3 linked regions of the Rattus norvegicus genome follow. The main gene of each other region encodes a partner of the protein of the gene in region 3 in a complex. Links are inferred from orthologs where the notes say so. Each region holds a gene or a part of one and is shown on either strand. Other genes may lie near its edges.

Region 1 (4,656 bases), on a different chromosome or scaffold from region 3:
AAAAGATAAATAAATTTTAAGTTGTCAATAGATTACATTAGGAAATAAGTGGGCTGGTGAGATGGCTTGCTGATATAGGTGATTACCCCCAAGCCTGACAGCTTGGGTTTGATTACTCTGAACTCCCATGATGGAAGGAGAGAATCAGCTTCTACCAGTTGTCCTTTGACCTCCACAAGCCCTTCGATTCCACCATGGGTGCATGTTCTTATAAATAAATTTAAATTTAAAAATAGTATGTCAAATGAACTGTATAGTTCAGTTATTGAGTGTTTGCTTACAATTCCTTCAGCACCGTGGAAGAGAGATGAAAAAAATCACTATTAGCTGAGAATGTGAAAATAGCACTTTGGAAAAAAGACTTCATCTGCTAAAGACAAGAATAGATCAAGAAAATGCGACTAAATATCAAGAATTATTAAATTGGGGCTGGAGAGATGGCTCAGTGGTTGAGAGTATTGACTGCTCTTCCAGAGGTCCTGAGTTCAAATCCCAGCAACCACATGGTGGCTCACAACCATCTGTAATGGGATCTGATGCCCTCTTCTGATGTATCTGAAGACAGCAACAGTGTACTTATAATAAATAAATAAATCTTTAAAAAAATATTAAATCTTGGTGTTCCTCATCATTTCTCCTTGCTTTCACTGATGACTCTCTGGCCCAGATCATCTCACACTGTACCAAATCACCAATGAAGTTCATTAGACTGTGTTCTCTGTGTGTTGCAGATTTGCCCTAATAAAAATAGTTTTAAAGGATAAAGCCGCAAGGCCCTGGGTTCGGTCCCCAGCGCCGAAAAAAAGAACCAAAAAAGGAGATAAAGCCAAGGGGTTGGGGATTTAGCTCAGTTAGGTAGAGTGCTTGCCTAGAAAAAAAAAAAAAAAAGAAAGAAAGAAAGAAAGAAAAAGAGAAGGATAAAGCCAATAATTCTTATTGTTACATTTATTTTTTTATTTATTGTGCATGTGTATGGCTATGATAAAGAAGTGCAGTAAAACATGCTGCAGCGCTGGGGCAGTTGGTAGAGCGCTTGCCTGTAGCATGTGGTCCTACTTCCATCCCAGCACTGCAAAGTTCAGGCATAACGGCGCTCATCTGTAACCGCAGCCCTAGTGAGGTTGAGGCAGGAAATAAGTTCTAGGTCATCTTCGGCTACACCGCAAATTAGAGAGCCTGGGTTCCATGAGACCCTATCTCAAAAGCAAGCACAGAAGACCTCTATACATGTTTCCTTTTTCTGCGAGCAGCGATTTTGTATCCTTCTTTCTGCAACCCCACCAGTTAACGCAGTTTGTTCATTTACTAAAGTCTGGGTCCTACTCCCTGGGACTCTGATTTCACGAGTATGAGGTAACGTCTGGGCGTTGAGGTTTTTAAAAAAGTGCTCCAGGTGGTTTTAACATGCAAAACTGACAGGCTCCTTTGGGAAACGTTCTCCCTTCTTCACAAAAGATCCGTCTGCGCTCAGGCGTGGGCTCTCCATGGTAGGCTCAGGGAGCCAAGCCTTTTCCACACTCCAAACACTCAGAAGTCTCCCGGACAACCAGAGGGATGGAACGCTAACAAGGCTGTCGGCGCTCTGCCATTGACTCCGCACTCTATGATACTTTGGAGTCCACTCTAGCAAATTGAAGTAGGTTTCTCTTCAGCCAGTGGCTCCTCTCTATGGTAGCCGGTTTCCCAGAGCCGCCTGGTTTGCGTTTTCTTCCGGATCAAAGAAGAGGTTAGACTTCCTTCCGGAAGTGACCCACGTGCTTCTTATTTCGCCTATCTTGGTACCCGGTTAACTTTTTACTATTGACCCGAAGTTGGGGGCGTTGCGGGAGCTGTGACCTACCCCAGGCCGTGGTGAGTGAGCCATGGTATCTGATCCCCAGGCTGACCCTGATTATGCCATTGCCATGACAGAGGCGCAGCCTTTAGACCGGCCCTGGGAACCTATGTTGTGGTTAGGGTCACATTCTCGGGGCTGCGTGGGTTCAGGCCCAGGGTTTTGTGTGCTCTGCCCCTAATGTCGGTCCTCTGGCTAGGAGTGATTTCGAGATACTGAGAGCTCTCGGTTTCCAGCTCCGAGCCCCATGACATCTTGAGTGACCTTGAACTGGACACTGTCCCCTTTAAGGGCCTCATTTCCACTTCTGGTAAGAGGGCTGACTACGTTTTCTTAGGGTACTGGTCCCTGCTGGTCTGAAACGCTGTAACCCCTCGCGCCCTCCAGCCCCTGGGTGGGTATTAGAGTGAATGTGGAGGGGTCGGTGCTGACTTATCATGTACGCTCCCAGGACTAAAGACCAGGAGGCTATTTTCTCCACGGTGCTAAGTTGACATGGATCCGCTCAGAGCCCAGCAACTGGCAGCGGAGCTGGAGGTGGAGATGATGGCCGACATGTACAACAGGTAAAGAGAACCACTCCGATTCACCTTGTCCAGAAAACTAGCCCTCGTCACCCCTACCGCGATAGAGTGAAGGACTTGTAAGGAATGCTTTCCCTAAGGTAGTAGAGCCAAGTCCCAACCTCCTAATCCCGTCCCACCATTACTGCGGGCTTGGCTGAAGTAAAGACAGGTCACTGGAAGGACTTGGTTGGCTATTTAGAGGGAGTAAAAGGGGTGTGAAGGAAAGTCTCCTGCTCAGGCTCTGCTGAGTATCAAGTACAAGTAAGCACTGCCTTTTCTTTCTTTTCTTTTCTTTTCTTTTTTTTGGAGCTGGGGACCGAACCCAGGGCCTTGTGCTTGCTAGGCAAGCGCTCTACCACTGAGCTAAATCTCCAACCCCTCTTTTATTTTCTAATAGCCCATTTTATTACCTTTGCTTCTGTATTTTGTGTTTATTTATGAATGCCAACATGCATGCTATAGCAGCTCACATGTGGAGGTCAAAGGACAACTTACTAGGATTCCATCTTGGATTGAACTCAGATCTTCTGGTTTGGCAGCAAGGGCCTTTGCCTCCTGAGCCATCTGAACAGTCATTTAGTAGTTAATAGTATTTAGTAGCTAGTACTTATTAATTTTTTTCTTCCTTTTTGGGGGAGAGGTGGGGTGAGCGTTTTTGTTCTTGTTTTTCAAGATAGGGCGTCTCCGTGTTGCCCTGGTTGTTGGCTTGATCTGTATAGAGCAGGTTGGTCTCACTCCCAGAGATCTGTCTCTGTCTCTTGGGTGCTGGGATTAAAAGTGTGTGCACTTGATCCTTATTAAACTTTATCTCTGTGTTAGGCACTTGCAAAGCATTTTATATACATTGTCACTTTAAAATTTTTTTTTTTTTTGGTTCTTTTTTTCGGAGCTGGGGACCGAACCCAAGGCCTTGTGCTTCCTAGGCAAGCGCTCTACCACTGAGCTAAATCCCCAACCCCCACTTTAAATTTTTTTAATTTATTTGTTTTATATGTATGTATGTTTTGCTTGCATGTGTATATACATGTGCATCACATGCCCTCAGAGGCCAGTAGAGGGCATCATATCTCCTGGAACTGGAGTCAAAGATAGTTGTGAGCTGCCATGTGGGTGCTGGGAACCAAACCCAGGTCCTCTGCAAAACAGTAAGTTCTCTTAACTACTTTCCAGACCCCCATTGTCATTTTTGTAAATACTTAAAAATAATTCAAAGGGAGAATGGGGTGGAACATAGGATGTTTGTCTAGAATGTAGGAAGCCCTTGGTTTGATCTCGGCATGGTGGGTGCCTATACTCAGAGATGGAGGCCAAAGCCAAATAGTTGAATGAATGAATGAATGAAAGAAAGAAAGAAAGAAAGAAAGAGAGAAAGAAAGAAAGAGAGAGAGAGAGAGAGAAAGAGAGAAAGAGAGGAAGGAAGGAAGGAAGGAAGGAAGGAAGGAAGGAAGGAAAGAAGAGCAGTGGGTTAATTTTATTAGTACCATTTTAACATAGGGGAATTGAGGTATTAAGGGGTTTACTAATCTCAGGTTTTGTAGCTGGTCAGCAACAATGTCAGGCCAGAACTTGAGGCTGACTTCACAACTACTGCTTGTAGCTGTTAGGCCAATTTGGAAGCATCCTGGTATGCCAGTCACTGCTGAATGTCTCATAATTGCTTATCTCATCAGTAAAACTGGCATAAGAGGTGCTATGCCATACAGACATTACAGTATTATACTTTATCATCTAGCATATCATACAGGAAACAGCAGGTATCTGCTGGTTTTTGTCAGCAGCTCTTTTCATTGATTGGTTTGTTTTTGAGACTATAAATTAGAATGGTTTTTAAAATGCAGACTGTGCAGTCAGACTACCTAGCTTTGTGTGATATTTAGCAAATTACTGAGCTGTGTCTTAATTTCCTCATCTGTAAAGTGGGGATAATGATTGTGCCTACCCCACTGGGCTACTGTGAGGGTTGCCTAACAGAGTCTGTATTAGCCCTTAGCATGATGGCTGGCACACAGCCAGTATTCAGCAAGTGCTTCTGCTTTAACTAGTCTTGTACATGACTCAGAGAAGATTCTTATTGGAAGAACCTTCCAAACTGGTTGAAGAAAAGTTTCTTTTCTTTTTTTAGGTTTATTTATTTAATATATACACTGTAGCTTTCTTCAGACACACGAGACACAGGAGAAGAAGGCATCAGCTCTCATTACAGATGGCTGTGAGCCACCATGTGGTTGCTGGGATTTGAACTCAGGACCTCTGGAA
Region 2 (4,704 bases), on a different chromosome or scaffold from region 3:
ATGTCATCCTAGTTAGTCTGTAACTTGATAAGTAGACCAGGCTAACCTCTAACTAAGAGAGATCGATTAGCCAGCTTCTGCCTCCCAAGTGCTTGGATTAAGGGGTGTGTACCACATCCAGCGCTCTTTTCTGGCCTTCACAGACACCCACGCTTGCACACCCATGTGTGTGCACACACATACATAAAAAAAACAGGGGTTGGGGATTTGGCTCAGTGGTAGAGCGCTTGACTAGGAAGCGCAAGGTCCTGGGTTCGGTCCCCAGCCCCGGAAAAAAAAAAAAAAAAAAAACAAAACAAAACAAAAAACAACTCTCCGGCAATGTTGGCATATAGGAAATGTGATCCAGGAATATTGGACCACTCACCAGAAACAGGCTAGAATCTGAGGATCTGTCACTGAGCAGCCCAGAAAATCTTTTCTTCTCAATGAGGAAATCACAGATCCACTACTAAGGCCAGGATCAAAAAGAAGATGTAATAGGAGCAACATTTTCTAACACTTGGCCATTGACTGAGGTACAAGAATGGCATCTAGAAATAGGATGGTTGGTGATCAACGCCTTTGATCCCAGCACTCAGAGGCAAAGCAAGGCAGACCTCTGAGTTTGAGGCCAGCCCGGTCTACAGAGTGAGTTCCCCAAGAAGCCAGGGCTACACAGGGAACCCCTGCTTCAAACAAACAAACAAACAAACAAACAAACAAGGATGGCATCTAGAAAGAAATGAGTTTCAAAAAGTTCAAACTTAGCTCTCTAACACTAAAAACCACAAAGCATTAACGATTCCAAGTTGCCTGGTGTAGTGGCACACGCCTTCGATCCCAACACTCTGGAGGCAGGCAGATCTCTCCAAGTGCACCACCACACCCGGCAACTACCAGCCATGGGGTTTGACATCTTCCATTGTTACCATAGTCGTATGCCATTAGTACCCTATGCAATACTCTGTACTTGGTCTCTCTCTCTCTCTCTCTCTCTCTCCTCTCCTCTCCTCTCCTCTTCTCTTCTCTTCTCTTCTCTCTCTCTCTCTCTCTCTCTCTCTCTCTCTCTCTCTCTCTCTCTCTCTCTCTCTCTCTCTCTCTCTCTCTCTCTCCTTAATGGTTTCTCTGTGGAGCCCCAGCTGCCCTGGAACTCACTCTGTAGACTAGTAGGCTGGCTTCAAACTCAAGAGATCTGCCTGTCTGGGCTTTAAGGCGTGCTAGACCACCACTCACATTTGTTGGCCTTCTTTATTCTTCCTTAAAGGCTTAATAAATATGTAATAAAATGCTTTTTGAACACATTTATGTCATGTTTCAACACTTTCATACAAAGGGCGTACATTCGATCTCAGAATGTAAACCAGTCTGTGGTTCTAGTGACTGTAGTAGCTGGAGCTCTGCTTTATGGCCTGGCAACAAAGCGGACACGTGCGTCCCCTGCTGCAAGTTCGACGAACTGCAGCCTAACAGGATCCGACTTCTCTTCGGCCGCTTCTCAGACGAGCTTTCAAAGGAAGTAGCAAAGCCAGCGAGTGCGCACGGCTTTCTGGGAAATACAGTTGGACATTCGAATTAGAACTACAAATCCCGGCACGCACCGCAATGGAGCCCCTAGTTGAGGGGTGTTCTTGAGCTACTAAACCTTGTCAGAGTTTTTAGCAATGCCTTACAAACTTGGTTCACTGTTTAAAGAGGCGTTGAGGAAACGTGATAGCTTCCTCGACGCTGATGCAAAGGCTGACTCTTGCTTCTACAGCTTCCTCAGTGTGGCGAATCTGCCGTTGTCGTTAGGCTGGCCGGACTCCTCGGTTAGCATGTGGAATCGGCTGTGGGAAATACGACGTGAAAGGTACTAGAGCCCGTACAGTCATGGCGGCCGCCAAGGCTGGGGCTTCAGCTCCTGAGGCGGCGGGTTCCGCCGAAGCTCCGTTGCAGTACAGCCTTCTTCTTCAGCACCTGGTGGGCGACAAGCGTCAGCCACGGCTTCTGGAGCCTGGCAGTCTGGGCGGGATCCCGAGTCCTGCCAAGAGCGAGGAGCAGAAGATGATCGAGAGGGCGATGGAAAGTTGCGCCTTCAAGGCTGTGCTGGCCTGTGTGGGAGGTGAGGCGAGGCTTGTGGGACCCTTGGGAGGCTGAGGGCTTGGAGAACTTTAAGGTTCCTTGCTAAGACCACGCGCCTGGGAGGCGAGGAACCTGTGCATCTCGACCTTGATCGCTCCCGGGCTGGCTGACTCCTTGAACCCGGAGATGCCGCTCTTGACCCTGAGATTAACATTCACAGTCAGGGTCTGCAGGTTCCTAAATTGTTGCTTTCTTTTCTTCGTTTTATTCGTTCGTTCGTTCGTTCGTTCGTTCGTTCGTTCATTCATTAAGTTGTTACTATGTAACGGTCAGGTGCCCGGCAGAAGGAATATGGATGAAAGCGACAGGAGCCCTGAAGGAGAATATTAGGACGCAAAGAGAAGAATGCTGTAGAGTTGCAAATGCAAAGGTCCTCAAGGCAGGAGTTTGGAGTTTGGAAATTATTACTGGGTGATGGTGGCCCAAGCCTTTAACCCCAGCACTGGGAGTGGTGGTGGTGGGCAGAGACAGACAGACAGGGAGGACTACATAGAGACACCCTGTCTCAGAATTAAAAAAAAACAAAAACAAAAACAAAAACAAAAAACAGCGAAGGCCAGTGTGATTAGTCGGGGTGAGGCTGGGATGGATGTTAACAACACACACACACACACACACACACACACACACACACACACACATACACATATTAATCTTCCAGGGTTTGAGAATGTACAGCATACTTATAGTGTACAGGTAAAAAGGTTGTTTATTTGTAGATGAGTTTAAATTTCGTTAAGAATGAAGAACATTTTAAAAATACAGGAGTTCAAATCTTAAATAGTGGGGAGGAAGAGGCAGTCAGATCTCAAGAGTTCCAGGTCAGCCTAGTCTATAGAGTGAATTCCAGGAAAGTCAGGGCTACATAATAGAGAAACTGATTCTTTTTTTTTTTTTTAAGACTTATTTATTTGATGTATATGGATACACTGTAGTTGTCTTCAGACACACCAGAAGAGGGCATCAGATCTCATTATAGATGGTAGTGAGCCACCATGTGGTTGCTGGGAATTGAACTCAGGACCTCTGGAAGAACAGTCAGTGCTCTTAACCACTGAGCCATCTCTCCAGCCCTGAGAAACTAATTCAAAAACCAAAACAACCAGGCTGGAGAGATGACTCAGTGGTTAAGAGTATGGACTGCTCTTCCAAAGGTCTGAGTTCAACTCCCAGCAACCACAGGGTGTCTCACAACCATCTGTAATGGGATCTGATGCCCTCTTCTGGTGTGTCTGCTACAGTGTACTCATATACATAAAATAAATAAATAAATAAATATTTAAAAAATCAAAACAAACAAATAAGTAGAAAGAAGAGATAGAGTTTTGGAGCTGAAGTGATTAGAAAGCAAGACCAGGAGAGGAGGGGTCTAGCTTCATTGAGCTTACATTGATCTTGAGGTGATCATCTTGAAAAGACATCATACAGAAATGGCTGGGGAGAAAGCCCAGTTGGTAAAGTGCTTATCATGCAAACATGAAGGTCTGAGTTCAGAACCCAGCATCTATGTAAAAAAGCCAGGTATGGCTGGGTGAGGCTATGGGGCCTTTAAGCCCAGCACTGGAGAGGAAGAGGCAGGATAGCCAGGGCTGTTACACAGAGAGACCCTGTCTTAGAAAACAAACAAACAAACAACAACAACAAAAAGAAATTGGTGGGTAATTCCTGAGGAATGGCACCCACTCTGGCCTACACTCACAGACAAAAGAAGGCTCAGACAAGGCATTTGTTGACAGAAACATAGGATTCCATGTTTAATATTCATGTGACTCTGAAGACAGTTACTTAACCTCTCCAGGGTTTGGTTTAGAGAGGCAGGGTGGATGGTGGTTTCAGAACCTTTAATCCAAGCTCTTGGGAAGCAAAGGCAAATGAACCTCTGGAGTTGGAGCTTGCCTGTTCTACAGTGTCAGGTTCGAGGCCAGCGGGATTATGTAGTGAGGCCCTCAAACAGAAAAGCCAGGAAGGGGAGATAGTAACATCTACCTCACAAGTTACTATGAAAAATAAGGAATATTCCAGAGTAGCGGGGACATGATGCTTCCTTACTGAGTGACTGTATGAGTGTTGTTACAGGTCATATACAACGTTGGTAGCTGAAGAACAGGGTTAAAGCTGAAAGGCATAAATCCTAGAGGAGTTGTGGGGGTAGACTCCGACTGTACTGTGAGGAAAGCCGGATCAGGACCGAGTGCCAAGAGACCAGAAAGGCCATCTTCAGTTACCATCCCCAAATGGTAAACTAGAGAATGTGCAAAAGAACTCTTATCTCTGCTTACCTCTAGGATTTGTCTTGGGAGGCGCATTTGGTGTCTTTACTGCTGGCATTGATACCAACGTGGGCTTTGACCCCAAGGACCCTTACCGGACACCAACTGCAAGAGAAGTCCTGAAGGACATGGGACAGAGAGGAATGTCCTATGCCAAAAATTTTGCCATTGTGGGTGCCATGTTTTCCTGTACTGAGTGTCTGGTAGAGTCTGTAAGTGCCTCTTGCTTCTTAAGAAAGCTCTTCCTGTTGCCCTTGTACACTTTTTAATTATCTTTTTTTTTTTTAAATCATTTAAAAACGCTTGGGTGTGTGTGTGTGTGTGTGTGTGT
Region 3 (4,376 bases):
TACGATGGAGATTACTCTGCCTTGCTGTAACCTGCCTTCTCGACATCTTAAATTGATTCACGGCTGTATTCTATTCTCTGACTCATACATGTTCAACTCACCTCTTCCATGGTGGAACATGTCATTCTGGATAACTTGAATCCGTGTTCCGAAACCATGGCCCTTCATACTTGGCTCAGAATAAATTTATTTCCTGTTCAGTTTCCCTAGGGAGACAGCAGCAAATAAATGTCTTTTCTCTCCAGATAGTGTGACAGGGACAGCCCCCAAAGAAATGATTCCACTAAAGTCTAGATTTGGGAATCAATGAATTTGATTGGGGTTACATATGGCAGCATGAGTGAGGGATTACCTACAGGAACGTGAACAACTCATAGGAGGCAATACCAGTGAAGTAGTTCTTGTCCCCTTCAACACTCCTAGCCCTTCTGGAGCCCTTCCAGTAACCGTTAATTGTGGAAGAGGTGGGCCCCTAGGGATCAAAAGTTAATGGGTCCGATCTCGTGACATCTCAGGCGAGCTCCCATTTGAAGATGTTTCCACTGAGCAAATGTTTCCATTTCAAGACAGACCTTTACCAGTCCTCTTTGCAGCAAAACCTGTTTTGTTTTGTTGACATCTCCCTGGCAGTGAGAGGTGGCAAGATAAAAAGTCTTTGTACGGGAAAAGCAGGAAGCTTCCCTGCACCCGCCCTTCATCTCCAGCCCAGCAATTTTTATATTTTAGTAAGACACCCCCTCCCCCCCTAGTGTTCAACACCTTGTGGCCTCTCCTGCTTCATGGCTCTCTTTTTCCATAGCTCTCTCTGCCTCCGGCAACAGGCCTAAAAATTCTGTGATTTTGTGCCTGATTTCCCCACCCCCACCCTTCTTTTCAGTGCATTCTGACTTGATCTTCTTCCTGCTCTGGGGAGCTCAAACTTCCGCTGGTTAATTTCATACAGTGCCCCTCACCACATGCCCTATAGCTCGGTTTTGTTTTGTTTCATTTACCAATATCTAAAATTGTCGTAGCCGTTTAATTACTTTCTGATTTAGTTCCAAATCGCAAAACTGTTCTTATTATATACTGTGAACTTTCCAGAAACAATTGGCTGGCGAGAGATGGATGGATGAAAGATTGAATGAACAGTAAAGTGACAAGAAAAGGAAGGGAGGGCGGTGGCTGCTGCGAGCCCACCCCTAGGTCACGGGAGAGCTCGCCCTGCCAGGCTGGGGCTGTTCCGCGTCGGAACCCGAGGGCAGCGGGAGCGGTTTCCTTTAAAAGAGAGGGAGATTTTTGTGAGAGCACACAGGAAAGGCCGGACGCTGAGCGGCGGGCAGCGGTGAGTTCAGGGGAGCGAGCGAGGGCCGCTGGCTGTGTGTGGTCAGGGTATGGGGCGCAGCCGTGGGTTGCTACGCTGAGCAGGGCCGGAACCCGCCAGCGGTCCCGGGATCGGCCACGCGGTTGTTGACCGCAGCGCGGCGGGAGGAGGAAAGATTGGGCCGGGCCGGCGTGGCGCGCACGCCCGTGGTCCCTGTGAGTCAGGTGTGCTGGTTCGAGTCTCAGAGCAGTGCCTAACTGTGAACCCCTCAGTTCCTCCCTTCCCACCTTAGGCTGTGGGTACCGGAACAAAAATGGGGCCAGCAATATTTGAACCATAGAAAGCGGGTCGGTTCATTCATTCTATTTATTCGGTTCTGCAGATGTGAATGGCTAGAACCTGTCCCAAGGAGATCTCATTGAGTGAAAAAGCCCTACCTTCCTTGTCAGGAGAGGGTCAGAAGTTAGAATTTGGGAGCTTATGGGTTTTGGGAGAGCCCGCTTGGAAGGCAAAGATACGTTAATGTAGACATAAAATTGAGATTTTTTACTGACATTAATGAGAATGAAAATTCTGGCTACTGAGAAGGGAACATACACTGAATGTAGTACATATTATGAAATACAGAAAAACGTACAGATTTTATTGACAATCTCTTCACTGCATAAATTGATGGTGTTTCCTTATTTCTCTAGTGAAAAGGTTAGTTGACTTATCCAGGGTCTCACCATCTGTAAATGACAAAGCTAGGGTTTTGTTAGGCACCTGGACCAGTCCTCTTTGCACTCTAGGCTGCCTGCATATTTCCCTCATCTTTTAGTAATATAGGAATCATTTAAGATGAAAAGGGAGTTGCACGGGGTGGGCGTGGCTTTTTAAAAAAATAGTCGACTGGGAGTGTGCTTAGCAGTATTCTTTCCCTGCTGCTTTCCGTTTACGTGATGCTAACAACTCTCATACATTACCTCACAGGCACGAATCCCAATTCTATCCCTTGGGTTCAACTTCTCCTATTTCCAAAACGCTAAGTCCAGACATCTGTTTGGGCTTCATTTGAGTGTGCCCGGCAGGTATAACAGTCTCGGAGTGTGCCCGGCAGGTATAACAGTCTCGAGTCTCCTTGACTGCACACTGTGTTTTCCCACAAACCAACAGTATAAATCCAAAACCTGGAGATCACCTAACAATCCGTTGCCCAAGCACAAAACTTGGCTTGTTTCCTCATCCTTCACCTCTTGTAATCAGTTGGTCACCAAGCGCTGCCCATTTCTGTTTTATAAAGACCTCCACATCTTTTGTTGACTCTTGTCTAGAATTTATGGCAGCCACCCCTCTAATGGCTCTTTTTAGCTTTATGTTCTGGTTCTGACGGGATGTTTTATATGTTATTCATCTGCTAAAAAATAAATCTCGTTTTTTGTTTTTTTTTGTTTTTTATTGTCTTCAACATACTATCTAAAGCCCTTAGTGTGGATTAAAAGCCTTTTCAAATCTCTACTTTCCTCTGACCCCATTGTTCATCTTTAAACTACTGTTTTTTTTTTTTAATGTCTGGTATGTTTGCAACCTCTGTTGCAATCATGGTAGTAACTGCTAGCTAAAAATAAAATGACTACTCAGTTCAAGAACAATGTAGGCTTTGGGGGAAGGGAGATAATGCCCAAGAATATACATTTACAACAATTTTTTTTTTGCACTTTAAATAAGGTTTAATAAGGACACCAGGGCTGAGAACCACTGTTCTAGATCCTATCTTGTATGTATAGTCTATTGGTGGGCATAGTTATTCCCAAGTAGTACATTGGCAGTTGAGGAAACAGTAGGAGCAGGAAGTTGTTGCTGTTCTAACCGGAAGCAGACTAAGCTCTCACGTTAGAGGGGCCTGTATATGCATGCAGGAAATAGTACTTTTATTTCTTAAGGTGAAGGGACACAGAAGAACCCGAGCAAACAAACCTTGCTGGTCTTTAAGTCTTAGCACCATGTTCAGTCATGTTTATGTAGAACTTTCTGTTCTTTAGCACATTGACCACACACACAGATTTAGTTCTGAAAGTTCTGTGTCATGAAAACTCACACCAAATAGATGTATGTGCTTTTTCCTTGTTAATATGTCTTTTTTAAAATAAGATTCTTAGTAATGGGTGGGAAGAGAAGTTACTTCTTCCGTTTACTGCCTACCTGGAAAACACACACACACACACACACACACACACACACACACACACAGAGACTTTGTGTGGTTCTTAGTTCAGGTTGCTGTAATTGGAGTGGCTTAAATAACAAAAAATTATTTCTCACAGCCTGCAAACTGGAAGTATGAACCCAAGATGGTTGGCACAGAGTATTGTGCACTCTTCCTAGTTTGCAAATGGCTATTTCATTGCTGTGTCTGCTGATGGAGCTGGATGCTGGTGTCTCTTCTCAGAGGGGTGCTAATCCCATTCATGAGGACAATATCCTTCCGACCCCATTACTTTTACATCCTAATACCATTTCAGTAGGAATTAGGGCAGTCACTTTCAAGTTTTGGAAACAGTTGTTGAGGCCATAGCATATACCTAACTCCTTTACGCTGTGACTTCTCCTAATCTGCAGGATTCTGAGAATTCCCTGACTCTCTCTGGCTCCTTCAGGTCCATCCCAGTTAGGCCCATTTTTCTGGACTCAAGGTAGATCCTGTCCTCATTTCCCAGCATGCATCTTACTGTGTTGCAACTTTGCTTGTATGGCCGTATTGCAGTCAGGGATGCTAAGATTCATGAGCATTTGAGAGTGGTACTTACTCTTCCGTGCCCTAGCCCTTAACACAGAGTAGATGTTGTCTATTAAAGACCTCTTGAATAAGTGATTAGGGTCAGATGGAGAGAGGTCAATAATTACATGGTCTTTGGGATTTTATTTATTTATTTATTTTTTGTACCAGCCTGGATGGTTTCATTGATGTCAGCAGTGTGACCATTTCTTCCTAGGAGATTTAACCAAGGGAAGTTAAAGGGAGAAGTAATTTTTATCTGTTTAGATAGTAATTTATATTTATTTTAGAAAAATTTAAGATGCCATTTAGCACCCT

Evidence for each region.
Region 1: the proteins of Agk (region 3) and Timm10 are in contact, whole or in part, in a cryo-EM structure (PDB 7CGP), measured with the Homo sapiens proteins. The link is inferred for Rattus norvegicus from reciprocal best matches to the Homo sapiens genes AGK and TIMM10. Residues at the interface, in NP_060708.1 of Homo sapiens: Phe49, Gly50, Asn51, Gln52, Leu53, Ile54, Pro55, Pro56, Val60, Ser91, Gly92, Met93, Asp94, Val95; in NP_036588.1 of Homo sapiens: Glu40, Glu42, Leu43, Ser44, Lys45, Gly46, Ser48, Arg53.
Region 2: Agk (region 3) and Timm22 share a complex: the UniProt entries of both Homo sapiens proteins name them as parts of the TIM22 complex. The link is inferred for Rattus norvegicus from reciprocal best matches to the Homo sapiens genes AGK and TIMM22.

The regions. Positions count from the first base shown.
Region 1 is NC_086021.1:90,313,375-90,318,030, forward strand, and holds the start of Timm10 (mitochondrial import inner membrane translocase subunit Tim10), read left to right. Parts: upstream 1-1,764; 5' UTR 1,765-2,329; coding exon 2,330-2,400; intron 2,401-4,656.
Region 2 is NC_086028.1:61,749,847-61,754,550, forward strand, and holds the start of Timm22 (mitochondrial import inner membrane translocase subunit Tim22), read left to right. Parts: upstream 1-1,839; 5' UTR 1,840-1,851; coding exon 1,852-2,083; intron 2,084-4,388; coding exon 4,389-4,585; intron 4,586-4,704. UniProt on the Homo sapiens protein: Essential core component of the TIM22 complex, a complex that mediates the import and insertion of multi-pass transmembrane proteins into the mitochondrial inner membrane. In the TIM22 complex, it constitutes the voltage-activated and signal-gated channel.
Region 3 is NC_086022.1:70,080,382-70,084,757, forward strand, and holds the start of Agk (acylglycerol kinase, mitochondrial), read left to right. Parts: upstream 1-1,275; 5' UTR 1,276-1,324; intron 1,325-1,331; exon of another isoform or gene 1,332-1,527; intron 1,528-3,953; exon of another isoform or gene 3,954-3,975; intron 3,976-4,376. UniProt on the Homo sapiens protein: Lipid kinase that can phosphorylate both monoacylglycerol and diacylglycerol to form lysophosphatidic acid (LPA) and phosphatidic acid (PA), respectively. Does not phosphorylate sphingosine. Phosphorylates ceramide.